7 linked regions of the Sus scrofa genome follow. The protein of the gene in region 5 interacts with the protein of the main gene of each other region in a pairwise test. Links are inferred from orthologs where the notes say so. Each region holds a gene or a part of one and is shown on either strand. Other genes may lie near its edges.

Region 1 (4,199 bases), on a different chromosome or scaffold from region 5:
TGCACATCTAAGCATTCCTTTCGTTCTCCAAAGGATTCTGTAAGGTAGGAACTATTTTTTTTTTTTGTCTTTTGTCCTTTGAGGGCTGCACCCGCCGCACATGGAGGTTCCAAGGCTAGGGGTCCAATCGGAGCTACAGCTGCTGGCCTACACCACAGCCACAGCAACGCCAGATCAGAGCCATGTCTGCGACCTACACCATAGCTCACAGCAACGCTGGAACCTTAACCCACTGAGGGAGGCCAGGGATTGAACCCGCAACCTCATCGTTCCTAGTCGGATTCATTACCGCTGCACCAGGATGGGAACTGCAGGTAGGGGCTATTTTAAAATCCATTTTACAGATAAGAGAACTTTGGTCCAGAGAGCCTAACTGGGCCGAGATCTAAAATAGTAAGTACTATGGATGATGCCCAAAGTTATTAAAGATGGAAGAAAATGGGGGAATTGTCCTGCTGCCGAGCAGGTTAAAGATCTGGTGTTGTCACTGCACCAGCTTGGGTCGCTGCTATACTTTGGGTTCAGTCCCTGTCCTGGGAATTTCCTCATGCTGCCAGTGCAGCCCCAAAAGAAAAAGAATAAGAAAAAAATGGGCACACTCATACACTGCTGATAAGGGCATAAATTGACTGAAAGTTTATCGGGGGCAGTATAATAATATATATCTCTTCCCTGATGCGATAACTCCATTTCAAAGAATGGATCTGAAGGAAAGAATGGAAAATTGGGGCAGGATGTTCTGTATGATAATGAGTGAATGTTAGTTATACTTTGGGTGTTTTTGGTTTTTTTTTTAGGGCTGCACTCACGGCATATGGAAGTTCCTAGGCTAGGGGTCGAACTGGACCTGAAGCTGCCGGCCTATGCCACAGCCACAGCAACCCAGGATGCCAGCCACGGCTGTGACCTGCACCAGAGCTCACAACAACTCCGGATCCTTAACCCAGTGAGCGAGGCCAGGGATCGAACCCACATCCTCATGGATACCAGTCAGGTACCTTGAGCCACGAGGGAACTGTTATACTTTGATTACAGATGTTTTAAAATTCTTCATGGCTCAACAGGGAACAATAGTTACAATATTTCATTAAATAGAAAAATCAGGAGTTCCCATCCTGGCTTGGTGGAAATGAATCTGACTAACATCCATGAGGACACAGGTTCCATCCCTAGCCTTGCTCAGTGGGTTAAGGATCCAGCGTTGCCATGAGCTGTGGTGTAGGTCGCAGATGCGGCTCCTATCTGGCGTTGCTGTGGCTGTGGCATAGGCCAGCAGCTACAGCTCTGATTCTACCCCTAGCCTGGAAACCTCCATACCATATGCCCTGGGTGTGGCCGTAAAAGAAAAAAAAAAAAAAGGTGGAAAAGAAAAATCAGTTTGAAGTGTAGGTAGGGGATATCTGGGAAATTAATAATATTCTCTATTTATTTATTTAGCTTTTTAAGGCCGCACCGGAGGCATATGGAAGTTCCCAGATTAGGGGTCAAATCGGAGCTACAACTGCGGGTCTACCCTACAGCCACAGCAACGCCAGATCCAATAGCCGTCCTCTGTGTCACCTCCCAGAGGAATATTATAGGCTAAATCCCAGACCCCTCAACACCGCCGAGCCTCGTCCTCCCAACTCACACTCACTCGCTGGCCCCACCCAGGGCAGTAACTAACAATCCCAGGCCCGCCCCCCCAGAACCCGGCTCCGCTCCGACCACGCCCTCTGGACGCCCCGCCCCTGTCACGCACCCTCCTTGGGGCGCAGGCGCAAAGTGGCGCCCGCCCTGCGTACCAGCGCCGCCACGTCCGCCGCAGCTCGGGCCGCCAGGGGGCGCGCGTCCAGCCGCGCCAGCCGCTCCCGGGCGCTGGGGCCCGCGCGCGGAGGAAGGCCACCGCCTGGCGAACGGAAAGGGCAGATCAACGCCCACCTTCAGTCTCAGCGAGCCCCCACGCCCCCCGATGACCGAAGACCTAGAGTGGCCATCAAGATCCCGGAGACCCGGGACCACTCTTCCACAGTTGCGAAGGTCACCGACTGTCCCTCGCTTGCCCGTGGACCCCGCCTGCCCCCAAGATATCTCTGGACTTAGCTGTTTAACCCCAGTATTCCCGGACCCCTCCGAACACCCTGTGGGCATCTCTGGAGGTGTCCTACTGCCCCCTCCCCCAACTGCCGCCAGAATCCCAGATCCCAAACTCTTCCCCGCCAGCATCGAGAAGGATCCCGACTCTCCCAGAGGTCCCGACAGAACACGGTCCGGCCCCTGTGGCCCCGGCACCCCCGGTTCCCCTCTAGATAGCCTAGGTACCCCTGCCGGCCCACGTAGCCCCGGATTGCCCCTTCCCATATCCTCGCAGGGCCCTGCCTAACCCCCGGAGGCCACCACAGACCCTGCCCGAGTGCCCAGGTGTGTCCAGTGACCCCGGGCAGACCCCCTCCTGCACCTCTCCCCGGACCCTCCTGAGAGCCCCCGGGTCTGGTGCACCGCTTCGCAGCGCGGGTGCGGGTAGGGGGCCCAGAGCCCAGCCCGGGTCGCTGGGGCCCTGCCCTCTATCGCCGCCGCCGCCGCCACGGCCGCCGCCGCCCCTTGGGCGCCAGGGCTGCCTTGTTTACCACCTGCCAGAAGGAAAAGGTGACGAGCAGACAGGCGGGGCGAGGGCTGGCAGGGACGCGTCCACTCGCTCCCGTTCGCCCCGTACCTCCTCCGCTCCCCCTAGGGTCTGTGGCGCCCCCCGCGCGCGGCTCCATGACCTGTGCTCGGCCCGCTGGACGCACGGACGCCAGTGGCGTGTTGGGAGCGCCTGGGCGAGCTCACCTGGCCGCCTGCCCGGGCCTGGACGCGGCTGAGGCCGGCCGGTCCCGTGCTCAGGCGCCCCAAGCAGCGCGGTGACCTACCTGGCGGCCCGCAAGGAGGCCTGGCCCAGGGAGGGAGCCCGCGCGAGCCCTTGGCCTCGCTCTGCCGCAGGCGCTGCCTCTCTTTCCCAGCACCGTGGGAAACCTCTTTTCCACCCCGGGGATGTCGTCATTCCACGTGGGAGAGGGGGACGTCGAGGCCCAGAGACGTTCAGGGCCCCTCCTGCGCTCTGACAACTGGAAACTGGATGCGGACCCCGAACCCACGTTACCCAGGGTATTCTGCAGCCTCCAGCAGAGCTTTGCACATCGTAGGCACTCAGTAAATTGGCGGGGAATGTGGGGCTGGGGGGGAGGGTGACCTCGGAGGCTTGGGGGGCCACGGGAGGGAGGCGTCAGGGCCCTGAGCATGATAGGGTTGGGGGATTCCAAAGGTAGGGAAGGGTGGGTCTCCTGGAGAGTGGAGGGACAGTAGGGGGCTGGACTCGAGGAGGCTTTCAAGGCACGTGGGTGGAGGGGACCCCAGGCAATGAGAGGGGAGAGAGGAGGCCCGTCCTAGGTCTGAAAGGGGGTGGGGGTGAGGGGCTCTGGAGACAAAGGCCCCGAGGGGGGAATGCTTGGGCACAGTGGTCCTGTAGTGGAAGCAGGAAGGAGGAATGGGGAGCAGGGAGAGAAGGCCTGTGGCCACCACTTTGTGGAGGAAGAAGCTGAGGGCGGGAGGGACCCAGGGCCCCTCCTCAGCCAAGGGCAGTGTGGGTCTCAGGCCCTTCACCCCCGACAGTCCCTTGGCCCAGTTACTATGTCACCATGGGCTGTGGACGGGCACACTGTGTCCTGGTGTCCATCCTGGCTGGCTGGGCCACCTCTCGCTCCCTCCTTTCAGGGTCCTGGCGGTCCTTGTCGGTGACATGGCTGAATGGTCCCTGCTTTCATTCTTCCTTCGACCCCATGCGCCTCCCATCTCGGACCTGCCCTTGTCTGAGGGGGACACACTGGACCCCCTTCACTGCTCTGCCCTGTTCTTGTGACCCCATGGGGCTTTCGAAGTTCCCCAGCTATGCCCACTGTCATTCCACCTCCCTGCCTTTGCCCATGCTCTTCCCTCTTCCTAGCAGACCCTTCACAGCCTCTATGATTATTACACTGTCATGATTACTGTGGCTCTATAGTATATATTGAAGTCAGGTATTTTAATTACTCTTCACTGTCTTCTTTTACAACATAGTTTTCTTCTTTGCATTTCCATATGAAATTTATTTTACTTATTTTATTTTTTAAGGGCCCCACCCCTGAATGTTCCCAAGATGGAGTCAAATTAGAGCTGCAGCTGCAGGCCTACACCACAGCCACAGC
Region 2 (4,290 bases), on a different chromosome or scaffold from region 5:
CGGGAGCCCTTGGCGGGGATGCTTTCTCTGTTTGTGCCCTGCCAGACCCCAAACTTCCACGGTGTGGACAGGGCTGCCCTGGGTCCCGCCACAGTGCTCAGTGCCCTTATGCTTAGCACGGCCCCTCTTGGGCTCCCCTTAGCCAGACCGCCCTGGGAAGAGTGATAAACTCAAGACCTAGAGTGAGCATGCTGGTACTACACATGTGGCCAGGAGATATCCAGAGACCCAGGTCCCCTCTTGGAGCCTCAGGGCTCTCAGCCTCGGGGAAACCCAACAAGCTGGTAGGATCCAGGACTTGAGTCTAGGCTGGGCCCCACACGATGCTGTCCCTTTTTCTCCCCCATCTGCCACCCGCCTGGCTCAGGTATTGGGGCAACTCTGGAAAATGAAGGCCAGAGAGGGGACGGGACACTGGAGGAGGGCGTGGCCAGATCAAGATGACACAGAGGAGCCCGCCCTCCCACGTCTGCCTGGGATGGCCAGCTTAGAGACACCTGCCTGCCTGGTCCTTGAGACAGAGGGTCAAGAGGGGGCCGAGAGGCCTGGGAGACTCAGCTTCCCACCAGGAGGACCCTATCCCCACGCCCATCCTGCCCAGCTAAGCCCCAAGGTGATCCCAACCCTACCCGGCGGGCCCTCCCCGATGTTGCCCGGCTCTGCCCCCGCTGGAGAGATAGACCTGGAGGGACGCAGCCTGCTGGAGCTCTGTCCCTCACAGCCACCATGCCCACCTCTTTCTCGACTAAAGTCTAAACTCCAGTCTACAGGGCTAATCTTCAACCCCGGGTTGGGTGAGGTGTCACTGTGGCACAAGAAGTGCTAATCCCTCCATGGCAGGCTCATGCCAGCTGCCCTCCGCACCGGAGCTGGCCAAGCCTCCCCGAGCCGCAGCACCAGGAGCTGAACTTTGACTGGGAAGCAAGAGCTGCTTCTCTGATCACCCCCTGCGGTCTCTGCAGGGCTCTTGGCCCCTCTCTTACTGTCCCCACACCCGCCTGCCCTGCCCAGGCCCTGCCAGCCGACACCCCACCTGATCCCTTCTCTCTGCTCCCTGGCCTCGCTCCCTCCCTGTGGCAACGCCCCCTCGGCTGCGGTGTTCTAAGACCTCCTCCAAGCCCTACCCAGACTCTCAGGCCAAATCTCCCCCTGCTGTGGCCCAAGCCAGGTCTGAGTTTGCACTTGGCTGAAGGTCTGGAAAAGCCCAGGTCTGCGACAGCAGGCAACTGCCGCCAACAGCCAATTAGCTGTGCTAAGCGGCCCAGGAGGAATTCTTTTCTGCAGCTGCCGCTGGGTCACCCACATCTGCTTATCCTGAGTGCCCCCAGGCCGGGCCCCATTTAGTCTGAGAGCGGTGGGCACACGCAGGCACATACTCGCCCCCACACATGCCTGCCCAGCAGTATAACGGGCTCACAGACACAGACACGCTTCCAAAAAAGACTCACACAGGAGTGCCCAGGTTCCATGGGCTCGGAGACCCATGAGGGTGGCCATCCATGCGCGTACACGGCTCACACCCACCCACACACCACACCTCTCAGTGCCCGGCCACCGCGAATGGACCCAGAGAGGGGGTGAGAGGGCCCTGCCCCGCCCCTGCCCCTTGCTGTAATCCAAGAAAACCGCCTGCACACTGTCCAGACAGGGTTTTCACCCCCATCTTTGTCCCCCACCTGGGGCCAGAAGAGCAAGAGGAGCTTTTTCCTTCAAGGCAGTTGGTTTGGGGACCTGTGCGAATGTGGGGCTGCTGGAGCAGCCCCAGGGGAGTCCTGCTCACACTGTCACGGACCCACACACATGCCCGGCCTGTGGTGCAGGGAGGCGGGGGACAGCAGACAGAGTTTCCCTGGGGTCCAGGCCGCATGGGGAGGCAGCTGCTGCACAGGGAGGGCTTGGGGTGGAAGGGAGCAAGAAACCAGGGTGAGGAGCTGCTGGCCCAACCACTAGCTGCCTCCAGAGCTTATTTCCCATAATAGAGGCCCGCAGGGGACACTGGCAAGACCATTACGCTCTGGGTCTCCGTGTCCCACAGTGCCTGGAAGAAAAAGGGCTCTGGACCCAGGCACAGCTGAGTTCCAGGTCAACTGAGCATGACCTCCAGCAACCTCTCGTCCTCTCTGTTCCTCAGTATCCCCATCTGCACAGTGGGCAGAGGATGAAACCGGCGGCATCTCAGCACCATTCTAGAGCCCCGGCGCCTGGGACCACCCCACTCACCGAGTTCAGGCCAAGGGAGTTGCCGGGCAGGGAGGAGGTGATGCCTGAGAGGATGGCAGTGGCGACGATGGCCCCCACACACTGGGCAATGATGTACATGACAGCCCGGAGGACACTGATCTGGCAGCTGAGCAGGAGCCCCAGCGTGACGGCCGGGTTGAGGTGGGCGCCGCTGATGTGGCCCACGCTCTGGGCCAGCGTGGCAATGCTCAGCCCAAAGGCCAGCGACACCTTCACGTTATCCTGGGCCGCACCTGAAGTCTGGTTGTTCCTCACGGGGTACTGGAAGCCCAGGGCAGAACCGATGCTGATGAAGATGAAGAGGGTCATGGCCAGGAACTCGGCCACCACCGCCCTCCAGAAGATCTTCTTCTTGAACTCGCTGGCCATGTTGGCAGGGGGCTTGGCTTGAGACGGCTGCCTGGTGCTCGCCTCTCTCTGAGAGCTGAGCCACAGCCGGGGCTGGGCCTATTTATAGGGCCCCCCCGGGGGGGGGGAGCACAAAGGGAGGAAGGCCTCTCCTTGCTCCTGGCCCGCCCCACACTGCACGGGCCTCCTCTCAGCGATGGATGCAGACACAGCTCTGCTGTCGGCCTGCCAACTTTTTTTCCCTTCCTCCTCTCTCCCCTCCCTCCCTCTCTCCCTCCGCCCTCAGCCCTGCCCAGCTCGAGGAGGCAGGCAGGAGGCAGCGTTTCTCTAATAGGCTTTGAGAAATTCCTCCAAGTTGGCCCCACTCAGGGGGCCAGAGAAATCCAGGTGTCCCTGCCCTGTGTGCAAAGCGCAGGGGGTGCCCGAGGGCAAAGCCAGGCGCTCCGGATGGGGCGGGTGAGCGGCTAGGTTCAGCAGGTGGACGTTGCCCTCCTAGAGGCGGGCACCATGACCCTGCTGGTCTGCCATCCCCATCCAACCCCAGAGAGGCCTGAGTCTGGAGTCCACAGGTCCAGGGGTCCCCAGCGGCAGTCTGCGCCTCCCATACCTGGCCACTAAATGTCACCATAGGAATGTCCCAGAACCCTCAGACCACCGGCCAGGCCTCAGTTGATGGGGACACAGAGGCATCAGGGGGTACAGAGAGCTCATCTACAGACCACCCCCCACTCTGTGGTCCAGGGCAGGCCTGAGACAGGCTAGGATGCTCCCTACTCTGATTTGAGCGAATGATCTTGCGGCAGCTGGGGAAGATGAGGGCAGGCAAGGACTTTCCTCTCGAAGCCTATGAAGCTGGTGGACCACTGGGGAGACAGGAGGAAGGGCAACCTGACCGGAAAGCCCCGGAGGGAAAGGGGAGGAGAGAAAGGGGGAAGAGAGGTGGGAGCACGAAAGGGAGAGGAAGAGACACCGGGGCCCAGAGGGGAAGAGGCAAAGGAGGCAACGAGAGGCAGAGAGACAGAGGGAGGAGGAAGGACAGTGGGATGTGGAATCAGCCGAAGCAGAAGTGAAAGGAACAGATCCCCAAACAGTGATAGGGAGACACTGGGGACTGAGAAGGAGAGACAGAGACAGCACAAAGCGCGAAAGACCACTGGAAAGAGGGGACACAGGACTGGACCCAGAGGTGAGAATCCAGAAGAGCAAGAGGAGAGAGCAGAGGGGAAAGGGGAGGGACCGGACACTGCCTGGGGCAGGGGGAGGGAAGAGGCAGCTCTAAAGACCATGCCCGCCCCCCACCCCGCCCCATAGTCCAGCCTTGCGCCAAAGCCAGAGGCCCAGCGGCAGCCAGTGAACTGAGCAGGAACCTGGACTCCTGGGCCGGAGGCTGGTCAGGAACCCCAGGCCCAGGCCACCAGGCTGCTGCAGTGCGTCTGCGGGGAAGAGGAGCCAGGCAGGGCCCTGGGGGCAAAGCTGCCCCAGGAGGGAGGGGCCTCCCTGGTCCTCTCCTCCGGTCTCCTGCCAGCCTCATCACAGCCCTACTGGAGAAGGCGGGCTTCTCCCCATTTCACAGGTGGGAAACTGAGGCCCAGTGAGCGGAAGGACTTCTCTGAATTGTGTGTGTGCCAGGGCAGGCATGAGCACACGGGTCCTGTTCAGGGGCCATCTGCAGAAGACGATGCCAGCCCCCAATGGCCTCCC
Region 3 (4,145 bases), on a different chromosome or scaffold from region 5:
GATCCTAGACTGGAGCAGTTCTCTCCAGCTCCTCCTATTCACACCTCAACCCCTTTTTTCAGAGACAGGAAATTCTCTGGGGTCCCAACACTTGTGTGTAACCGGCAGGTCTTGACCCATTAGTCCTATCCACATCCCTAACGCTCCCCAAGGCCAGGCCCCTCTCTCCTCTATGTCAACTCCAGCAGGGCCTGCGGCTCAGATTCCCTACCCCCGCAAGTCTCCGTTTGTCCCCGGCCCCATTCCCAAGGTTTCCGAAGTTTCTTTCCAGGCAAGAGCTAAGCTCCTCTTTTTCTCAAAGTCTGGGGATGGCAGTTAGGTCCCTTTCACGGGAGTCTCCTTATCCCGCCTCCATCCTTCAGACCACCCCCTCCTTCCTTCGGTCCCGGACCTGGTCACTTCCTTCCCCACCCCCACATCAAGGCACGGAGACCCCTTGTGCCGCGCCCAGGAACAGGGGACGCGGCGCGGCAACGACCTCAGACTCACCGGCTGGACGGGGACTGGGACCGGGGGGGCGGGGAGGGGAGGGGAGTTTCTGCTTCCAAGGAACCGCGGCGACGGCTACAACGCAGGCCGCGGATCCAACCGCGGCAGGCGAAGTGGGGCGGGGGGAGTGGAAACTGGGGAGGGTGGGGAAGAGGGCAACGCGCAAGCGCTTAAAATCGTGCGCCGCGGTGAACGCCGGGAGATGGAGTCCTCGGAAGCTAGAAACTGGCGCAACTGAGAAAGGGCGAACTACGAATCCCAGGACGACCCGCCCACGACCCTGGTGTCGCGAGGCCCCTGAGGGAAACGCTCCGGGGCGGGGCGTAGGGAGCCGCCACCGGAAGCGGAAACGCAGTACCGTGTTCTGGGCCAGGGAGCCTGGGAAATATAGTCGAGTGATCTTATCACCGTGGGGCTGAGAGGGGGCGGGGAAAGGAACAAGACAGGCTGGATCATTTACTGCCGCTCCCTCTCACACAACGAGCCTCAGGCGTGCGGCCCTGCTACCCAGACCATTGACCTCATCACCGACCAGCTGCCTGGCCCTTATCGCTTGTGGAGCCCCCCTGTCCGAGTCAGCCTGCCAAGGAGACCCTCAACGGGGCCCATATTTCACTCAAGGGTTTGATCTCCTGAGGTGGGAGGTGAGGCCGGGTTCCGCGCTGAGGGACCTGGGTAGGGTGTGCTGGCTGAGCTGAGAGGTGTGAGAATCGGGAAGGTCCCGTGCGCTAACCTGAGGTGGCGCCAGCCATTCTGTTGCTCGTCCCCTTGCACTTCTCCATTTCCTTTTAAGGCTTGAACAGGGCCTTCTGCTGCGGGTGCTAAGTGCGACCTTCCAACCCTGGTCAGATTAATGGTGAGGGGCTGCGTGACTATTTCATTTCACGGCTTCTGGGCATTCTCCGCCTCAGGGCCTTTCTTAACCCAGAGGGTGGTTTCCCAGGTCCAGAAAATGAGCTTGGAGCGGGGGCCACGTTGAGGGAGGCGAAGAGCATTGTGGGGGCGTTAGGTAAAAGCAGGACCCCAACCGACAGATATTTCTCGATCCTCGCGCTACCAGGGCACGTGGCGTTTTGCGCTTGTGTTATTGGAAAGATTCCAGGGCGGGAAATAGCCCGGAGCAGCGCGCCTGCGTGCTCCAGTATTGTTTTTGTTTGTCCCCCGCCCGCTCCCCATTCAGCTGCGCATGCGGCTTTGACTGTGGACGCCTTTGCTTAGAGTAGCGCCATTTTGCAGTACGGAAGCTGCAAAGCAACGAGTGGAACCTCCCCGCGAATCGGCTTCCTGCTTCCGGACAAATGTCAAGTCTGTTTTTGTTTAAGAATACCCCGAAATAGGATCCAGGAAGATTTAAAGAGCCAGGCTGATTGTTTTCCTTAATGGTATGTCCCGCGCAGTTGTAAAGTAGTTTCAGAGAAAGGCTGTTATTATTGATGGTGAGGATGGAGTGGGGGCAGAGCACAGGACTTCTGGGCAACTGTCTTACAGAGTCTACTTTGTTAACCTTTACTAAGGGGCATGGTCTGTTACCATAGGGTTTCCTATTTTTACACAATCCGTGGTCCTCGGGGTTCACTTTCCGCGTAGGAGGGTTTTTGTTTGTTTTTGTCTTTAGGGCTGCACCGGTGGCATATGGAGGCTCCCAGGCTAGAAATGGAATTGGAGCTACAGCTGCTGGCCTACACCACAGCCACAGCAACGCAGGATCCAGCCGTGTCTGCAACCTACACCACAGCTCACAGCAACGCCGGATCCTTAACCCACTGATCTGAGGCCAGGGATCGAATCTAATCAGGTTTGTTAACCACTGAGCCACGAAGGGAACTCCCGGGAGGGGATTTTTGATTCTAAGGATACTTGTTTTTATCCCAGCAGGTGTCTGTAGGTGATTCTGGTCATTGCAGGACCATCTGGGACTTGGCTTCCCCCTGCCTAATCTCATTTTCCCAACTCTCCCCAAAGCCATGTCCGGGTCCTCCCTCATTAACTTTACCCCAGCCACTGACCCCAGTGATCTCTGGAAAGATGGGCAACTGCAGTCACACCCTGAAGAGCTGGAGCCCACCCTGGATGGGGCTGCAGCCCGGGCTTTCTATGAAGCTTTGATTGGGGACGAGGACAGCACCCCTGAGCCCCAGAGATCTCAGCCTGAGCCTGCTAGAAAGAGGAAGAAAAGACGAACGATGAGGGAGACTACAGCAGGAGCATCAGGAGAAGATGGACAAAGGAGATCCCTTGAGGCAGAGGACAAGATGACCCAGCAGATACTGAGGGCAGCCCAGGAGGGGGACCTGGCAAAACTGAAAAAGCTGTTGGATCCCCATGAGGCAGGGGGAGCTGGAGGGAATATCAACGCTCGAGATGCTTTCTGGTGGACCCCACTGATGTGTGCTGCCCGAGCAGGCCAGGGGGCAGCTGTGCGCTATCTCCTGGGCCGTGGGGCGGCCTGGGTGGGGGTCTGCGAGCTGGGTGGCAGGGATGCTGCTCAGCTGGCGGAAGAAGCAGGCTTCCCTGAAGTGGCCCGCATGGTCAGAGAGAGCCCCGGAGAGACAAGGAGTCCAGAGAACCGGTAAGGGGAAGCCTTATCTTTCATTGTGTTCTGCCCTTCCTCACACTTCACACAGGAGGCCACAGAATAGAGCCAAAGGGTTTACTTTCCTGTTCCCTAATGTAGGCTGATCGGGCAGTGTGATTATGAACAGGATACTCCCTTGGATTATTTTTTATATAAAACATTTTTTTCATTAAAAAAAAAATTGGGGTAGTTCCCATTGCGGCTCAGTGGTAACAAACCCAACTAGTATCCATGAGGACGAGGGTTCAGTCCCTGACCTCAGTGGGTTAAGATCTTGGCATTGTCGTGTGGTGTAGATCTCACATGAGGCTCGGATCTCACATGGCTGTGGTTGTAGCATAGGCCAGCAGCTACAGCTCTGATTTGGCCCCTAGTCTGGGGACTTCCACATGCCGCAGGTGTGGCCCTAAAAAAGACAAAAAAAATTTTAAGTTTTTTAATTGAAGTATAGTTCACGTATATTTGCTATATTCCCACATTGCATGGGCTCCTTGGGTTTAAATCCTGACTGTACTTACGTGGGCAAGCAACCTAACCCATGTGCCTCAGTTTCCTCATCTAAGAAATGGAGCAATAAAAGCACCTTTCTCTTAGGGTTGTTAGGGTCAAATAGGTTAATATATGTAAAGTGCTAGAAAAGCACCTGTCCCATACTAAGCACTATACCAACACTAGCTATGGTCACTATTGTTATTTTTCATCACCCAAGAACTTTGTGAAGCCTTTTTAACATCTGTTGGCTCAACTATTCCCTTTTGGGTCTCTTATCATGAAGTGGGGAGGAAGGCAATTTGTTCCTCAGCAGAAATACAGGAAGGACCTAACCCTGCCACCCTCCTGAGGCCTCAATCCTTGTGTTGCCCTTAACCATTCTTTTTTCTTTGCAGGCCCCGATCCCTCTCCCCCCAGTACTGTGAGACCTGTGATGCCCACTTCCAAGACTCTAACCACCGTACATCCACCGCTCACCTGCTCTCACTGTCCCGGGATCTCCAGCCCCCCAACCTGCCCCTTGGGGTGCCTACCTCCAGCCCAGGCTTTAAGCTTCTCCTAAGGGGGGGTTGGGAGCCTGGAAAGGGAC
Region 4 (3,803 bases), on a different chromosome or scaffold from region 5:
CTCCAATCTATCTTACAGCCTTTGCAATCTTGGATTTCCCAGCCCCAGGAGAAGAAGGGATCATTGTGATCTGGCTTTGACTTTATTATATATGTCTTGGTCAGCACCTCATTTCTGAAGTATGGATTGGGTAGGAAGCAAAACTCAAATGTGTAACTTATAGGCCGGCCAGGTTTTGAGAACTTCAGGCTAACATCTGACAGGAACTTCAGAATGGGCTCATCATACTTCTGAATCATGGGTCCCAGCTTGTCAACATTCTTTAAGACAGTCAGCCAATAGTCGGGAATGCCTTTAGGATCTTCTCTTTTAGGCTTTCCTTTGCGAGCTCTTTTCAGAGCCCTTTCTTTAGGCCTGACCTCAGGAATTCTTTTAGGAGCTTCTTTTACAGCAACCCTGGCCTTAGTCGCCTCTGTTGCTTTAGGCTGCTCTCTGTCTTCTGCCTTTGCTTGGGGGGCTTCTTTTGGATCTTCCTTTACTTCAGGCTTGGCCTCCAGAGCATCTTTAGACTCTGCTCTTTCTTCAGCCTTTGCCTCGGGATTTTCTTTAGGGGCTGCATTTTCTTCAGCCTTGACCTCAGGTTTTGGTTTTGGGTCCTCTTCTTCCTCACCCTCTAAGGCAGGCATTTCACTAGGGCCCTCTTCCTGCACTTCCTCATCACTGCTAAACACCTCATCCTCCGAATTCCATTCACATTCTTCCTCCGTGGGCTCATATTCTGCATTGATGATTTGGAATCGCCGATCATACAGAGGCCTATTGAGTTCGGCATATTTTCTTTCGAGCTCGTGAATTGCCTTTAAGAACAGGGCGTCTACCTTGTCACATTCATCTTGAATATTTCTGAGCGCCTGCACACGATTTCTAACTGCCCGAGGCAGCTGATCCACGAAACTTCTACCCGACGGAGCCCGCCGCGCCCTTCTGGAAGGCCCAGGTACCCTCTTCTTTCTATAGAAACGGCTGCGGCTATTGCTGCTGCTGCTGCTACTGCTGCTGCTGCAACTAGTGCTGCTGCTAGAGCTGCTGCTGCTGCTGCTGCTGTCAGATTCTTCCCCAGAATCGCTAGACGAGCTAGCCACCATCTCTTCATCCACCCCCTGGGCCGCAGCTCCCGAGACCCTGTTAGGATCCGCTTCTGCCATTCTGCAAGCCTGCAAACCGCTTAGCGTGGTGACTACCGCGCGCACAGAGATGGGCCGAAAATGACTCACGGATGCTTGGGTGGCAGCGGTGGAGGTCGGGGCAGCGGCGAAGGCAGCAGGAGTGCAGGGCGGGGTGGGGCTGGGCTGAAGCCGCGGAGGCGGCAGCGACACTGGAGGCCTGAGCAAGAGCGGCAGAGGTAAGGGCTCTCCCGGCTGCAGCTGCTGCGGACCGAGGCGTGCCTCAGCCGAATGGCGCAGTGCGAGACCCCGAGATCTCTTCACTACTAAGATATTGAACCCCCCCCTCCCCTAGCCGTCAGACCTCCCGTTAATTTCGTTCCCAGTGTGCCCTTTAGCTCTCACCTCATTTGCTAGGCATGCTTGATCGACAAACCCTCAGGCCAATGAGTAGCCAAAAGCACCGCCCCCTCCAGACTCCGCCCACCTTCCCAGACGCTCCTAGGTAGCTAAGGCTCATACCCCAGGAAGACGTTTTTCCCCCTCAAAATTTTATCCTTATAGTTTTATAATTCAAAAAAAAAAAAAAGCTTAGCTATGAGGTAAAAATACTAGTCATGGTTTCTAACAAGGGAAGAGGAGTATCCTTCTCCCATCTGCCCTTCATTAATTCCCGTTTGGTTTGTCAGGGGCCTCGTGACAAAAATCTGTTTTTTAAAAATTGGATGAAAATACTCCAAATGACATCTTTGGGTAGTGTGCTTGTGGATGATTTTTTAATTCTCTTTCTTCTATCTAGATGTTCTATGAGCATGTATTTTTACACTGGGGGGAAAAGAGGGAGTCGTTTATTGGCAAAGCGGGGAGGGGCTAGAAAGCAGGCATATTGCCTTCCACGTAACAGTTTTAATAAGTGCTGTCTGTGGTGTTTGGCAAGCCTGGTTTATATCCATCTACAAGGTTTGCGAACCCATGTTGCCGTGAGTCAGTTACACCATTTTTTACTATATTTCTCCTTTTAATTTGGCGTGTAATAAACCCCAACCTTGCTGCTGATTTGCCACGTAGTCCTTCTCAATGCTTGTAACAACCTTGTAGATAAAATAAGAGGGCATTCAAATGTTAGGTAGTATTTTTTAAAAGCAGACGCTTTGTTCTATACTTTCATGCAGCACTTTTCCATTCCAGGAATAGCAGGATGGGAGGGGGAGTCTGTGCTGATGAAACTGCATCCTCTGTCAGGGTATACTTTACAATGTCATCTGCCACCAGTTTCCTTCTAAAATTGTAAAATGCTAGCCATACTAAAGTATGATTTACAAATCCAGTAATATGTGAATAAACTTGCAAAATGAAGTTTAAAAACAGCTGTTATTTTTATTTGCAGGATTCTTTTCTGCCACAGAACAACTCCCTTGGTACAACCAAAAAGACCCGTGTTTACTTTTCATTAAAAGGTAAGGAACATATTTAGCCCATTTTTATGAATGACAAGAATTACCTATATATATTTGAATAAAAATTCACGACAGAGTCTTTTAAAGACTTAATTGGAAGATAGTTCTATGTAAGCAGAAAAATCCACAGAGGTGATTTAGAATATTAATGAGGAAAATAACCTAATTAATGACATTCACTTTCTAAACCTGCTCATAGAAAGCAAGTAGCAAATTAAAACATAACATCTGATGAATTATTCATTTCAAATGAGGAAAAATATTAAAGTAAGATTAATCTTTATGTTGCTTCTTTATTATAGGATTTGTGCTTAGTCATTTAGTCATGTATTTATAAATTAAGAAACACTTTTATTTTCTATTTTGTAAATGAATTTAGTTTTATTGTTTATTCCTGATTGTCAAAGTATGTAAGCATTGTAAGGGAAAATACAATATAGAAAATTAAAATAATAATAGAAATACACAATTTTAATCAAATGATAACTATTGTTAGCATTTTGATGCATTTCCTTCTGGAATTTTCTTTGTACATGTACATGCCTGCCTATTTATATATACTGTTTCATCTTGTGAACTTATGTTTTGTAACCTGTGCATTTATCAGTTAATTGTGGCTATACTTTCATAGAAACCGATCAATATTTTATTTTAAAATAGATGCATATTTCATGGAAATATTTGCCTTAATTTACTTAACCAGATTCCTCTTGTAGGGCAGTTACTCCCTGCACCATCTTTCCACTAACGTACATTTTCCTGTTGTTAAAAAAGTTAACCCTGGATACCTGCTATATGAACTTGTAAAAACTAGTCATCTGATGAATTCCTAGAAATGGAAGTGCTAGAATGAGTTGTATTCTCATTTTACTCTTTGACACATATTGCCAAGCTTCTCTCCAGAAAAAATGATCACAATTTAAAATCCCAACAATAATGCATGAGTTTATTTAGCCATTCAACTAATATATTTTTGTGCCTGCCACGTGCCAGGCACGTGTGGTAGAGGATAATGATATAATGCTGAATAAAACTTAATGGGTGCATATCCTCTCATTCTATAATTTTCATTAAAATATATACTATGGAAGGTATGATTTAAATCAATGAAATTATGCTATAAATATTGTTCTACAAATTATTATTTTTTTAAATGATGGACATATTTTGTTAATGCTTTATATTTTTATAGTACTTTAATGATTTCATATATATGTTAAATTTTATACTATCAAGAATCAGC
Region 5 (4,207 bases):
AAGAGAAAATAATAATAATAACAATAATAATAATAATTTCATATCGGATTTGTGTCTATTTTTCCTAATGATAAAAACCCTGTCAGGAGTTCCCACTGTGGCTCAGTGGAAATGAATATGACTAGGAACCATGAGGTTGTGGGTTCAATCTGTGGCCTCGCTCAATGGGTTAGGGATCCGGCGTTGCCATAAGCAGTGGTGTAGATCGAAGACACAGCTTGGATCTGGAGTTGCTGTGGCTGTGATGTAGGCTGGCAGCTGTAGCTCCAATGAGACCCCTAGCCTGGGAAACTCTGTATGCCACGGGTGTGGCCCTAAAAAAAGAAAGAAAAAAAAAGCAAAACAAAAACCCTGTCATAATCAACTCGTCCATTAAGCAGGAAGCCATTTTCCATGTATACATTAGCATTATATACTTTAACTTTTACCTTCCAATAAATATTGCTTGCTTTCATCTATGAAAATGACAATAAGATTTTTATTTTATACCAACATATTTCTTAAAAATTATACCATGAGGATCTTGCCAAAAACGACTATCCTATTGCACAGCTTAGGCACAGTTTACATACAAAAATGAAAATTAACAAAATGAGCCTGTACTATAACAAACTGTGTTATAACAAACCATAACAAACTGTGTTATAACAAACCACAGTTACAGCAGGCTTTGGTGTATTTCTGAGATTTTAAGGCAAACAGGGTAACAAAACAAAAGGAGCTAACAGCAATAATATCTATTTCAATTAAGAACTTGTTAACTGAAGTTAATTCACAAAATAACATACAGGTATTCTCTACTTAGAAAAAGCCTGGAGTTACCCTCGTGGCTCAGTGGTTAACGAACCCGACTAGGATCCATGAGGATGCCCTTTCGATCCCTGGCCTCACTCAGTGGGCTAAGGAGCCAGCGTTGCTGGGAGTTGTGCTGTAGGTCGGATCTGGCTTTGCTGTGGCTGTGGCACAGGCCAGCAGCCCATAGCTCCGATTCACCCTCTAGCCTGGGAACCTCTATATGCCATTAAGTGCAGTTCTAAAAAGCAAAAAAAAAAAGAAAAAAAGAAAAAGAAAAAGCCTAATTTGGAGTTCCCATCATGGCTCAGTGGTTAATGAACCTGACTAGTATCCATGAGGATGCATGTTCAATTCCTGGCCTCGCTCAGTGGGTTAAGGATCTGGTATTGCCATGAGCTGTGGTGTAGATCACCGATAAGGTTCAGATCCTGCACTGCTGTGGCTGTGGTGTAGGCTGGCGGCTACAGCTCCAATTGGACCCCTAGCCTGGGAACCTCCATGTGCCACGAGTGTGGCCCTAAAAAGACAAAAAAAAAAAAAAAAAAAAGGAACACTAAGCCAGCTATAATGGAAAAAATAAAAATCATTATTAAGTAAATAAAATTTAAAAAAGAAAAAGAATAATTCAATAAATAAAAACTCAACCATACAACAAGCTTAATAAGAGCGCTCTTCTGCATTTCAGATAGTCTATGTACTTCAGAATGTCATTAACATATAAAGGTCAGATGAATCAACAACTACCAATACTGATTAATACAGTTGTTAGCAGAAATGTATCATTTGATGTCATATAAAACCAACATTAGGTGAAAAATCATAGGTGTCTACTATTTAAGATTCTAAGAAAATTTCAGATATCTGACCCAGTGGTTCTGAACAGTTTGTGCATTAAAACCACTCTGGGAATGAAAAAAATACACTGATGTCAACTTCATCAGAACCGGGGGCCTAATTTTTATTTTTTTTTTTTTTAAGTCCTCAGCTATTCTAATATGAAGTCAGGAATAAGAATTTTCAATAGCACAGATTATAAATCTTCCTAGCTTATTCTATAAACCACTGAAATCAGTTCTCCCTTCCGAATCTCTATTTATCTATATATGGAAAAACGAATTCCACATATTTCAATTGATTTCTTAGTAAATACATTTTAGAGCATCTACACATGATACAATTTCAAAGTTCAGTCATAGGGCAATTCACATTCCCCAGAGTTAATGGGACTTTTGGAGACTTCTCAAAAGTGCTGACAAACTGTACTACAAAAAGAAAGGAAGGAGCAGGTCAAGCAAAAATAGAGCTCTCATTACAGAAGTAATACGATAGTGAAAAGTGTACTTTAAAGCCAGTCAGCTGTGGCTCCACTATACAGTGTTATTCGAAACTTTAGTTTCCTCACCCGTAAAACGAGAATCAACATTTACCTCTAATAGATATTAACGATCTTACATACCTAACGTAGTACCTGGCAATAATAATGGCTCAATTTAATTTAAAAAAAAAAAAAAAAAAAAAGGCTAATCAACGCCTGTTGGGCTGAACTACAAGCAGAGGACCTGGAGAAAGACCAGCCCAGGTCACTCTAACATGTCGATAGGCTCCTTTTCACAAATGTCCCCGTTGGCGACTCCAAGCAGAAGACTAGCATGACCAGGAGACCATGCAACCTCAGGCCTCAGGAAGGGAGGGCAAAGCTTGTAAAGCCGAGAGGGGCCCAGAGGGCCGCGCATACCGGCCCCCAACAGCCAGGGCCGCTGTAGTGCCGCCAGATCTCCGGCATGAACTGGAGGCAGATGGCGGAGAACAGAGTACGCAAGGTCCCTCACCTTCACCACCGCTGTCCCCCGGCTGCCCTGACGACCACTGTCTAGTCCCGCACCAGGCCTGTTTACAACCAGGGCAGCCATCCTAGGAGGTGCAGTGCCGCAGAAGCAGCAGTCAAGGCCTTCACTAAGAGGCGGGGTAGAGCCACCTACCCAGAAGCCTAGGCGCTCGCTGCTGGTGCACAGGCGCAGTACGACGCGGAGAAGCCGCGGGGCCGACTTCTTCGCTCCTCCTTCTGGCACTCGTTTGCTGATTGGCTGCACACTCTTCAGTGGATGCGCTTTGTTATTTTGTTATTATTGAGGAGTCTGAACTTGATAGAAGGAACAAAATTAAGGGAAAAAAGAGAGGATAAAACAGAAGAAAATTGTTGGGATGAAACTCCTACCCCAGCAATGACTTCTTCCCTCTAACGAACGGAGACCGGGGACTACATCTCCCTGCATGCCATGCGGCTTTTAAACTACAAATCCCAGCGTGCCACATTTATATCAATTACTCTGCAGTGTAGGTATTTGGGAGGTTGTGTATTGTTACCGTGGAGTGCTTTCTTGAAAGAGCGGCGTGTGGCTGTGGCTGGAAAATAGAGAAGTATTTTATGTATAGGCCTGTAAGAGGCAAGAGATGACTTTGGTAAAAAGGAGCCGTTGGGTCAGTAAAGGACGTGGTTAGAAGAGTATATAAGGCGCTACCGGCAGACAGAAACTGTTGGGAGTGTCTTTAATGCCTTGTCTTCACGGACGTGCGCTTTTCTGTTTTCTTCCGGGCTGTTTGAACCGCTTCAGCCTCCGTAGGCAGTGGCTCCAAAGTGCCGGTCACAATGGAAGTGAATCCCCCCAAGCAGGAGCACCTGCTGGCCTTGAAAGGTAAACTTTGCGAACCCGGCTCCCAGTAATCTGTTTTCTCCCCTTCTCTCACTAGTTCTCGAAGCTTCATGGCACATAGACCTGCCTCTGGAATGTAGGCCTCGTCCTTCTTAAGCACTGTCAGTACTCGTCCTCCTCTCTGTCCTTGGGCGCCCAGCGTGAGGAAGCCGTTTCCTCGCTTTGGGTTTTGAGTTTGAGAATCGCCCTGTAAAATGGAATAGATACGTGGTAAATTACTTACTCTGTTATATGCTGCTGCAGTCACCGGAGAGATTTTTGGCAGTAGTTGACCTCCCTACCCTGGGGAGAGCCCTGTCAAATGAGACCATTAACAGCGGGTATCTAAAGTGGTTTTTTCCTCTGTCTCTTATCTCTTGACGCGGCAATGACAGTGTTACCAGGCTTCAGCTTCATTTGTGAAATTTAGTCTAGTTATTGTGCCAAGGATTTAAAAATACGTAATACCACAACATATAATTTAGGTTTGTTAAAAATCACTGCAGTTTACTTCAAAGTATTGTGTATATGGGAATATTCGTGTCAGTTTTCATTTTCTGTACACAGCAAACAACTTCGAGTACGTTTGATCATTTAATTGATTATTATTTAGGGGAAACTAGCAGGGCTTACTTTTCTGGAATTGTTTTCTGAAACTTTTTATTTGAAATGCTTTCAGCTTTATTTCATCTATTTTTTATTACCACAAATGCATTTATTTC
Region 6 (3,500 bases), on a different chromosome or scaffold from region 5:
GGGCAGAGTGCCTTGCCTGGATCCCGTCCAGCAGCTTGCTCATGCACCAGAAGCTGTCGGCTTCAATGCTTCGCAGCATGTCCTGAGACAAATTAGTCACGTCGAAATTCTCCACGTCCTCTTCTGTAAAACAAAAGGGGAAGAGAGTCCAGGGGTCTTCTCTGAAACGTGGAGAGAGAAGGACGGAGTCTGGTGTATTCCAACAGGGTCTTTGAGGCCAGGAGAGAGCTGGGCTGGTGTGATGCCAAAGACCGGGGCCTGCCCTCCTCCTCCCTTGTCAGGTGGGCCCAGTGTCCCAGGAAGGCCCTTGAGGATCTCATTAGGACACTGAACAGGCCATTTCTCACACCAGTTTTGATGGGTCCAACACATCTTTCTTTCCCACTGCATGTGTTCATTTAGTTTGAGGAGAAACACTTCAGGCCTCATGTTCAATGAGCTATATCCTGCCGCCTGGAGAGGGTCTGGAAAAATTCTCTGATTTCAGAAATTCACTGAACTGTCTGGCACACTCACACTGGTGAGAACGGCTGGGATCAGGTAGCCTCCAAAGTTCATTTTCAAGAGGGAATCCCCTTGGGCAGACCCATGGCCTTACCACTCAGAAGTGAAGATGAGAAGTTCCCATTGTGGCTCATTGGGTTAAGAACCTGACTAGTATCCATGAGGAAGCAGGTGTGATCCCTGGTCTTACTCAGTGGGTTAAAGGATCCCACATTGCCATGAGCTGTGGTGTAGGTCGTGGATGTTTCTTGGATCCCGCGTTGCTGTGGCGTAGGCCAGCGTCTGCAGCTTCAATTTGGCCCCTAGCCTGGGAACATCCGTGTGCCCCAGGTGTGCCCCCCCCCAAAAAAAAAGAAAAAAAAAAAAAAAAAAAAAGTGAGTGTGTGAAGTACCACAGCCCAAACCTGCAGGAGCTTCCAGGATTGAACTTCACCAAGTTGGTAGTTATTAAGCTGGGTTTTGCAAGACGTCAATCCTATAGGACACTCAAGAAAAAAGAGCTTCCACAGGAAATATGGGTGAGAAATGCGCGCTACATGTCCTCATTCTGGAGAGTCACGACAATCACAGCACACAAAAGGATTTGAGAAGTTACTAGAAATTCTGCATTAAGCAAATCTCCTTAACCTTGCTTATCCAGCATCTCCCCGGCTTCTTTAGCCACGGGACCTCTTTTGGCTTCTCATGGAAACCCCACACTAAGTGACGGGAGTGAGTCTGAGATGCAAGTGGGGAGAACACCTGAAGAAGGAAGAGGCCCTGTGATGTTTCCTTCTGCCAGAGAGAGTGGACAAGACAGGCCAGGCCGTCTCAACCCCCAGGCCCCACGTGCCGGTCAGAGGTCACATGTGGGTTCTGGGCCAGAGGCAGCTTATGTCCTTGCAGCCCTGTCTTGAAAACAGGATGTCCCCTGCAGTCCCTGGTGCTGCAGAGACACAGGCAAGGGACAAAATGCCTTCAGAATCCAGCCCTTTCGTTTAGGAGAATTATTACTCTATTAAGTCCTACAACTGGACCTTCTTGGGACAACCCTCGGATTCTCATCCTGTATAAACAGTGCTTTTTAATAAGACACCCAAGGGCTGTAAAAATCCTTCTGGGGAGGATGGGGTGTTTTGTCAGAAAAGCTATGACCCTGGGAACAATGTAAAAGTCCACAGTTAATACAAGTAAAGTGCTAACAGTGCTTGGCTCACAGTAGGCGCAATATAATTTATTTTAGATGAAGTTTATTAGGAATTCGTAAGGACATGGGAAAGCACGTCAGTGTAAAAGGAAAAGAGTAAGGTACAAAATTATTTATGGTATATTCTCAACTAGTGTACATACAGTATTTATGTGTTTATATAAGCACAGAGGAAAGACAAAATACATCACAAAGGTTTACAGTGCTTATTCCCCAGGTGGCAGGGATACGAATTTTTATTTTCTTTAAGACTTACTACTCAAAATTTCTACAATAAGCATAATTTTTATAGCCAAGAAAAAATGCACATTATTTTAGAAAAAAAGGGGGCTGCAATCGACTACATCTTCCTTTTACCACCACCACACACACAAAAAGATTCTATAATATAATACTAAGCCTGCAGAAATGGAAGACTTTGGATAATATGTAACGGTCCATTTGAGAAACCCAAACAAAAAATCCTCCCAAGAAATACTATCTTGGAGTTCCCGTTGTGGCTCAGGGGTAACGAACCCGACTAGCATCCATGAAGACTTGGGTTCGATCCCTGGCCTTACTCAGAGAGTTAAGGATTCGGCGTTGCCTGTGAGCTGTGGTGTAGGTTGCAGACGTGGCTCGGATCCTGTGTTGCTGTGGCTGTGGTGTAGGCCTGGGATGAGAGCTCCAACTGGACCCCTAGCCTGTGAACCTCCATATGCTGTGGATGCGGCCCTAAAAAAAAAAAAAAGAAATACTTTTTTTCCCTAACACTCATTACATAGTGGGGTTTTTTTTTGCGGGGGGGGGGGGTGAGGGAGGGCGGTAGCCATATGTATTAGTAATTTAATTAAATGATACTGGGCTCTAAGACCCAGCTCAGAATCTTCCTTTACTTTTTGCTTCATGTTTCAGTGCTAAGACCCTTCTTTTTTTTTTTTTTTTTGTCTTTTTGCCATTTCTTGGGCCGCTCCCGTGGCATATGGAGGTTCCCAGGCTAGGGGTCGAATTGGAGCTGTAGCCACTGGCCTACACCAGAGCCACAGCAACATGGAATCTGAGCCGAGTCAGCAACCTACACCACAGCTCACAGGCAACGCCGGATCGTTAACCCACTGAGCAAGGCAGGGATCGAACCTGCAACCTCATGGTTCCTAGTTGGATTCGTTAACCACTGAGCCACGACGGGAACTCCTGCTAAGACCCTTTTACATTGCTGTATATACCACTAGTTCCCGCCCTGCAGAAGCCACCACCCCTTTACACATCCGTCCCCCAAGGATGGACACCCAGGTGCAACTCCCACTACTGCAAACAATGGCCTAAGGAACCCATACAAGGGACAAAGAGCCTGGGTCCCTGAGCAGAAGGGGGAGCGCAGCTGCCACATGAGCCCTTTGCTGTCAGACAGAATAGCATGGGGATAAGAGCACAGACTCTGGAGCCAGACCTCACAGCTTAAAACCTGACTCTGTCACTCTCGAGCTATGTGGCTTTTGGCAAACGGCTTCACCCTCTGAGCCTCAAAACCTCACCTGGTAAGGTGATGATATCCTGCCAGGGTCGGTGGACATTATAAGGATCAAACAAGTTAGTACATGGAAAGTGCTAACAATGCCTGGCATAAAATGAGAATTATGTATATCTTAGCTAATATTACTGTTATTAAATGAGGAACAAGTAAACTTTTACCTTCTGTAGGGTGCTGTCATGTTAGATCTTTGTTATTTGTAGTCAAACCCAACTTAATTCCAAACATAAAACATACTTCTTTTTTTAAATGGCTGCATCTGCAGCATATGAAGTTCCCAGGCTGGGGGTCAAATCGGAG
Region 7 (4,206 bases), on a different chromosome or scaffold from region 5:
TTATTACTAATACAGATCATTTCGCATATGGCTTATGTAATTGGGAAAGCCCGATTTTTTTTTTTTTTTTTTTTTTTTTTTTTCTTTTTGAGCTGAGATTCTTTGAGTTGGAAGAAACACGGGGCTTATTGAGAAAGAAGGGACTAGAAGCCTGGCTCTACCATTCACTGTGGTGTTTCTGCGGTTGTTTGGGATAGTAAATTCAGGCCAGGTGTGGTTCAACAGTGCTCCAGATGAATGAATTTTAGACTTTTAGGAAAGAGTGTCGTCAGCATGACAGGAGGGTTTGTTAAATGCAGATCTCAAGCCCCACCTAAACCTCCAGAATCCCATAGATTTAATCAGCACATTAAAAAGGCCCCCCCTTATGATTCATGAGTATTAGGGTTTAAGAAGTACTTTTTAGACTAAAAGCAAGTGAAATAAGAGGAAGCTAGAATAATATGATAATCCAAAATAGACACATGGCACTCCCTAGTCACTGCCCTCACTTGTACCCACAAGACCAATTAACTGGGAGAGGTTATGTTTAAAGAACCATCTGGAACAAGGTGGGGCAAGACTTTTTCTTGTCGAAGAGGTTTAAGTAATTAGCTTTATTGTTTATAACAGGGACAAATGAAAGTTCCATACACTAAAAGCTCACCTCCAGGATCTTGCTACCTCACAGGCAATGCTGCCAATTTTTTTGGTGTCCGTGCAACTTCCATCTGCTACAATATAAAATCCCCTCTGATATTAGCCCCTGACCCCTTAGAATGAGTCATCTGTTAATGAATAACAGATATGCATACAAGAATCTGAATACAGGAGTTCCCGTCGTGGCTCAGCAGTTAACGAACCCGACTAGCATCCATGAGGGCGCGGGCTTGGTCCCTGTCCTCGCTCAGTGGGTTAAGGATCTGGCGTTGCCGCGAGCTGTGGTATAGGTTGCAGACGCGGCTCGGATCTGGCGTTGCTGTGGCGTAAGCCGGCGTCTACAGCTCCAGTCGGACCCCCAGCCTAGGAACCTCCATATGCCGCAGGTGCGGCCCTAAAAAGACAGGCCCAAAAAAAAAAAAGAAATATGAACACAGAAAGGAGATTAGAGTCAAGCCTCCCTTTACTTCCACCACCAGACAGGAAACCCCAAAGCCCTTAAAGCACCTGCACCCCTCATCGCTCCTTTCACTCCAGAGACGCCCCAAATCCCGCCCCGAGGGAAAAGAAGCCCCGCCCCCGACTGAAGGCCAGCCCCCACGTTTCCGGGTAAGGGGTGACCACGTGGTTGTCACCAATAACAACCCAGCACTACTCCCGCCCACTGGCTACAGCTCTCGAGCGATGATCGACTACACCAATGGGCCCTTAGAAGTAGTCTGAGCGACAGCCAAAATGACCAATTAATACGAGGTAGGTATGAGTCTAAGGCGGGACTCTGAGTACGGAAGCTGCCCCGAAACAGGAGGAGAGAGGGAAAGACCCGGTGAAAGGGCAAGAGGCAGGTGAGAACCTGGAAAAGCTCAGTAGTCTGAAGCGTGGCGGGAAGAGACAGTATTCCGGGCTGGAAAGGGTGCGGAAGGCTGCAGAAGAAGGGGCTGAGTTCTGGTTGGGGGTGGAGGGAGGGAACGCATTTAAAGGGGCCAAGGCCCAGGCTAAGGTAGACATTTAAAGGAACAGGTGCGGTAAAGAGAAGAGACATTTATTTAAAGGCGCAGATGCGCAAGGTAGAGCGGACCCTAGAGGAGCCGAGTTCGGCGGGCAGAAGACATTTAAAGTGGTAGATGTTCTGGAGGGAACATTTTCAGGAGACTAGAACCGAGCCTAGAAAACATAAAAAGAGGTATGGGCTAGGGTTTGAGAGCAGGTTTATTAAAGGGGCCGGTGTAAAGGAGTCGATTGTCAAGGGCCTAATGAGGAAGACGGTGCACTCCTGCTCTCCCCTATTGTCCTTTCTGGCTCCTCCAGGTTCCCTCGACCCCGGAACCCCTGTTCCCAGGCTATGACCCCCAGTGCCCTGTAGATCTGGCGGGCCCCCAGTGCTTGCGACCCCTATTTTGGGGTCTGGGTGGCTACTGGAGGGCCTTGCGGAGGGGCAGAGAAGGCAGGACCATGGCATCTAGGGCCTCTGAACCTCCCCCAGGGCGCAGCGTGACGGCGGGCATCATCATTGTTGGAGATGAGATCCTCAAGGTGTGTCTGGGACAGAAGAGGGGGGAGGGTGCAGCGTTCTCCTAACACGTTCTGTTAAGGGAGGGTGAACCAGGGTGGGAGCCCCCCTTGCTACCGTAGGGTCCTGGAGTGAGTCCAGTATATTGCAGGAAGAGTGACCTTCATTTATTCAATTACTCTGCTGAAAAACTTGTAGCAAAGTCCCTATAATTAGCCATGCTGTGTGGGAGGGGAGGAGAGGCTTTAACAGCAATGATGAGGAGGAATTCCGGGTGTGGCACAACGGGGATAGGCGGCTGCTTCTCTGGAGCGCTGGGCCACAGGTTCCAGTCCTGGCTGGCATAGTGGGATACAGTGGGTTAAGGATCCAGAAGTGCCGCAGCTGGACCATAGGTCACAACTGCTGCTCAGATCTGATCCCTGGCCTGAGAACTCCATATGCAGTGGGGTGGTGGGAAAAAAAAAAATGACAAGGAGTCCCATGTATACAGGAGGTATTATTTCAGAGTTATAGCCAGCCTAACTGGAAAATGATCCGAGGCATTCAGCAGAGTAGCTAAGTGGGATGGAAGGAAAGTACCAGAAGGGAGAAATCCCTTCTGAATGATCAAGGAAGTCTCATGAGAGGTCACGGTGAGCATCAGGTTCACAGTAGTACTATTACGTGCTTACTAGGGCCTGGCAGCGTGCTTATTACATGGCCTGTGTGGTTTTACTGATCCTCACAACAACCCCATGACGTGGGTATTTTTACTGTCAATATCAATGAATAGATTATGAGAATAAGGCTCAGAGTTGAGAGACTCACCCATGTGGAACAGCAGCTAAAAAGTGGTAGATGGGATTCCAACCCGATTCTCACTCCAGAGTCACCCTTAACCGCTAAACTCTGTGGAGAAGTAGAAGGAGATGGAGCTGGAAAGGAAGAGTGCATACACACCATAGACAGGCGGCCTCGAATATTCTGCAGAGGTATTTGAACTTTATTCTGTACAGGGTTGGAAACAACAAATGGCTTTTGAGCCAAGAGTGATGCAATCACAGTGACACGTTAGGAAGGTTATTCGGGACGCATGGGGCAGGGCGCTGTGGCTGGAGGCCGGGAGCCTGGCCAGGGGTCTGTCGCCACTGTCCAGGTGAAAGGTGCCAAGGACCTGTTTGGTGGCAGGAGGGACAAGAGAAGAGAGCAGATGGAGAGACACATTTCAGAAGTAGAGTTGACAGCATGAAGGGGCTGACTGGCTGTGGACAGTATCTGGGGATGCCATTGACCAAGGTGACAACAGCCTGGGTTGGGGGAAGGATGCCCAGGAAGCACTTGGAACCAGGAGACCGAAACTGTCAGAGTTGCTGAGGAAGTGGAAGAGCTGTCCATGTACGATTGATGATTGAATCCAGAAGCATAGATGAGGTCAAGGTCAAAGGACAGAGATGGAAGCCCAAGGTGGTTCACATCATCCCTGACTCCACATGGATCTTGCCACTCTTGTGCCCAGTCAGGGCTGGTGTCCCCCCAAGAGCAGAGGGCCCCACCCCCAGGCACATGCAGCCTCCTTCCTTCCCCCTCTGCCCTTCATCCCCACAGCACTGACACACTCGTCTTCCCCACCCCCCATCTCCCAGGGACACACTCAGGACACCAACACCTACTTTCTGTGCCGGACGCTGCGCTCCCTGGGGGTCCAGGTGTGCCGAGTCTCCGTTGTGCCCGACGAGGTAGCCACCATTGCAGCTGAGGTCACGTCTTTCTCCAGCCGCTTCACCCACGTCCTCACAGCAGGGGGCATCGGCCCCACCCATGATGATGTGACCTTTGAGGCAGTAGCACAGGCCTTTGGGGACGAGCTCAAGCCCCACCCTGAGCTGGAAGCGGCCATCCGAGGCCTAGGAGGGGAAGGCTGGGAGAAGCTGTCGCGGGTGCCCTCCTCTGCCCGCCTGCATTATGGCACAGACCCTCGCACAGGCCGTCCCTTCAGGTTCCCACTGGTCTCTGTCCGAAACGTCTACCTCTTCCCCGGAATTCCGGAGCTGCTGCGGCGGGTGCTGGAGGGGCTC

What was found.
Region 1: the proteins of TRIM23 (region 5) and GPKOW interact in binary tests that used the Homo sapiens proteins (3 or more experiments, as listed by UniProt). The two-hybrid records come from large-scale screens. The link is inferred for Sus scrofa from reciprocal best matches to the Homo sapiens genes TRIM23 and GPKOW.
Region 2: the proteins of TRIM23 (region 5) and AQP1 interact in binary tests that used the Homo sapiens proteins (3 or more experiments, as listed by UniProt). The two-hybrid records come from large-scale screens. The link is inferred for Sus scrofa from reciprocal best matches to the Homo sapiens genes TRIM23 and AQP1.
Region 3: the proteins of TRIM23 (region 5) and GPANK1 interact in binary tests that used the Homo sapiens proteins (3 or more experiments, as listed by UniProt). The link is inferred for Sus scrofa from reciprocal best matches to the Homo sapiens genes TRIM23 and GPANK1.
Region 4: the proteins of TRIM23 (region 5) and FAM133A interact in binary tests that used the Homo sapiens proteins (3 or more experiments, as listed by UniProt). The two-hybrid records come from large-scale screens. The link is inferred for Sus scrofa from reciprocal best matches to the Homo sapiens genes TRIM23 and FAM133A.
Region 6: the proteins of TRIM23 (region 5) and TBC1D22B interact in binary tests that used the Homo sapiens proteins (3 or more experiments, as listed by UniProt). The link is inferred for Sus scrofa from reciprocal best matches to the Homo sapiens genes TRIM23 and TBC1D22B.
Region 7: the proteins of TRIM23 (region 5) and FLAD1 interact in binary tests that used the Homo sapiens proteins (3 or more experiments, as listed by UniProt). The two-hybrid records come from large-scale screens. The link is inferred for Sus scrofa from reciprocal best matches to the Homo sapiens genes TRIM23 and FLAD1.

Annotation. Positions count from the first base shown.
Region 1 is NC_010461.5:43,189,039-43,193,237, forward strand, and holds the start of GPKOW (G patch domain and KOW motifs-containing protein), read right to left. Parts: upstream 2,801-4,199; 5' UTR 2,742-2,800; coding exon 2,610-2,741; intron 2,537-2,609; exon of another isoform or gene 2,384-2,536; intron 1,889-2,383; coding exon 1,742-1,888; intron 1-1,741. UniProt on the Homo sapiens protein: RNA-binding protein involved in pre-mRNA splicing. As a component of the minor spliceosome, involved in the splicing of U12-type introns in pre-mRNAs.
Region 2 is NC_010460.4:42,073,942-42,078,231, forward strand, and holds the start of AQP1 (aquaporin-1), read right to left. Parts: upstream 2,801-4,290; 5' UTR 2,611-2,800; coding exon 2,221-2,610; intron 1-2,220. UniProt on the Homo sapiens protein: Forms a water channel that facilitates the transport of water across cell membranes, playing a crucial role in water homeostasis in various tissues.
Region 3 is NC_010449.5:23,777,547-23,781,691, reverse strand, and holds the start of GPANK1 (G patch domain and ankyrin repeat-containing protein 1), read left to right. Parts: upstream 1-1,345; 5' UTR 1,346-1,871; exon of another isoform or gene 1,872-2,284; intron 2,285-2,361; exon of another isoform or gene 2,362-2,364; 5' UTR 2,365-2,453; coding exon 2,454-3,058; intron 3,059-3,951; coding exon 3,952-4,145.
Region 4 is NC_010461.5:76,148,349-76,152,151, forward strand, and holds the start of FAM133A (protein FAM133A), read left to right. Parts: upstream 1-1,500; intron 1,501-1,584; exon of another isoform or gene 1,585-1,608; intron 1,609-1,614; exon of another isoform or gene 1,615-1,705; intron 1,706-1,725; exon of another isoform or gene 1,726-1,856; intron 1,857-1,890; exon of another isoform or gene 1,891-2,083; intron 2,084-2,490; 5' UTR 2,491-2,560; intron 2,561-3,803. Other genes in the region: NAP1L3 (nucleosome assembly protein 1-like 3), read right to left, coding at 1-1,145.
Region 5 is NC_010458.4:44,143,492-44,147,698, forward strand, and holds the start of TRIM23 (E3 ubiquitin-protein ligase TRIM23), read right to left. Parts: upstream 2,801-4,207; 5' UTR 2,706-2,800; coding exon 2,625-2,705; intron 1-2,624. Other genes in the region: TRAPPC13 (trafficking protein particle complex subunit 13), read left to right, coding at 3,443-3,488.
Region 6 is NC_010449.5:32,891,178-32,894,677, reverse strand, and holds part of TBC1D22B (TBC1 domain family member 22B), read right to left. Parts: intron 124-3,500; coding exon 17-123; intron 1-16. UniProt on the Homo sapiens protein: May act as a GTPase-activating protein for Rab family protein(s).
Region 7 is NC_010446.5:94,810,621-94,814,826, reverse strand, and holds the start of FLAD1 (FAD synthase), read left to right. Parts: upstream 1-1,406; 5' UTR 1,407-1,484; exon of another isoform or gene 1,485-1,552; intron 1,553-1,947; 5' UTR 1,948-2,091; coding exon of another isoform or gene 2,092-2,172; 5' UTR 2,173-3,621; coding exon 3,622-4,206. UniProt on the Homo sapiens protein: Catalyzes the adenylation of flavin mononucleotide (FMN) to form flavin adenine dinucleotide (FAD) coenzyme.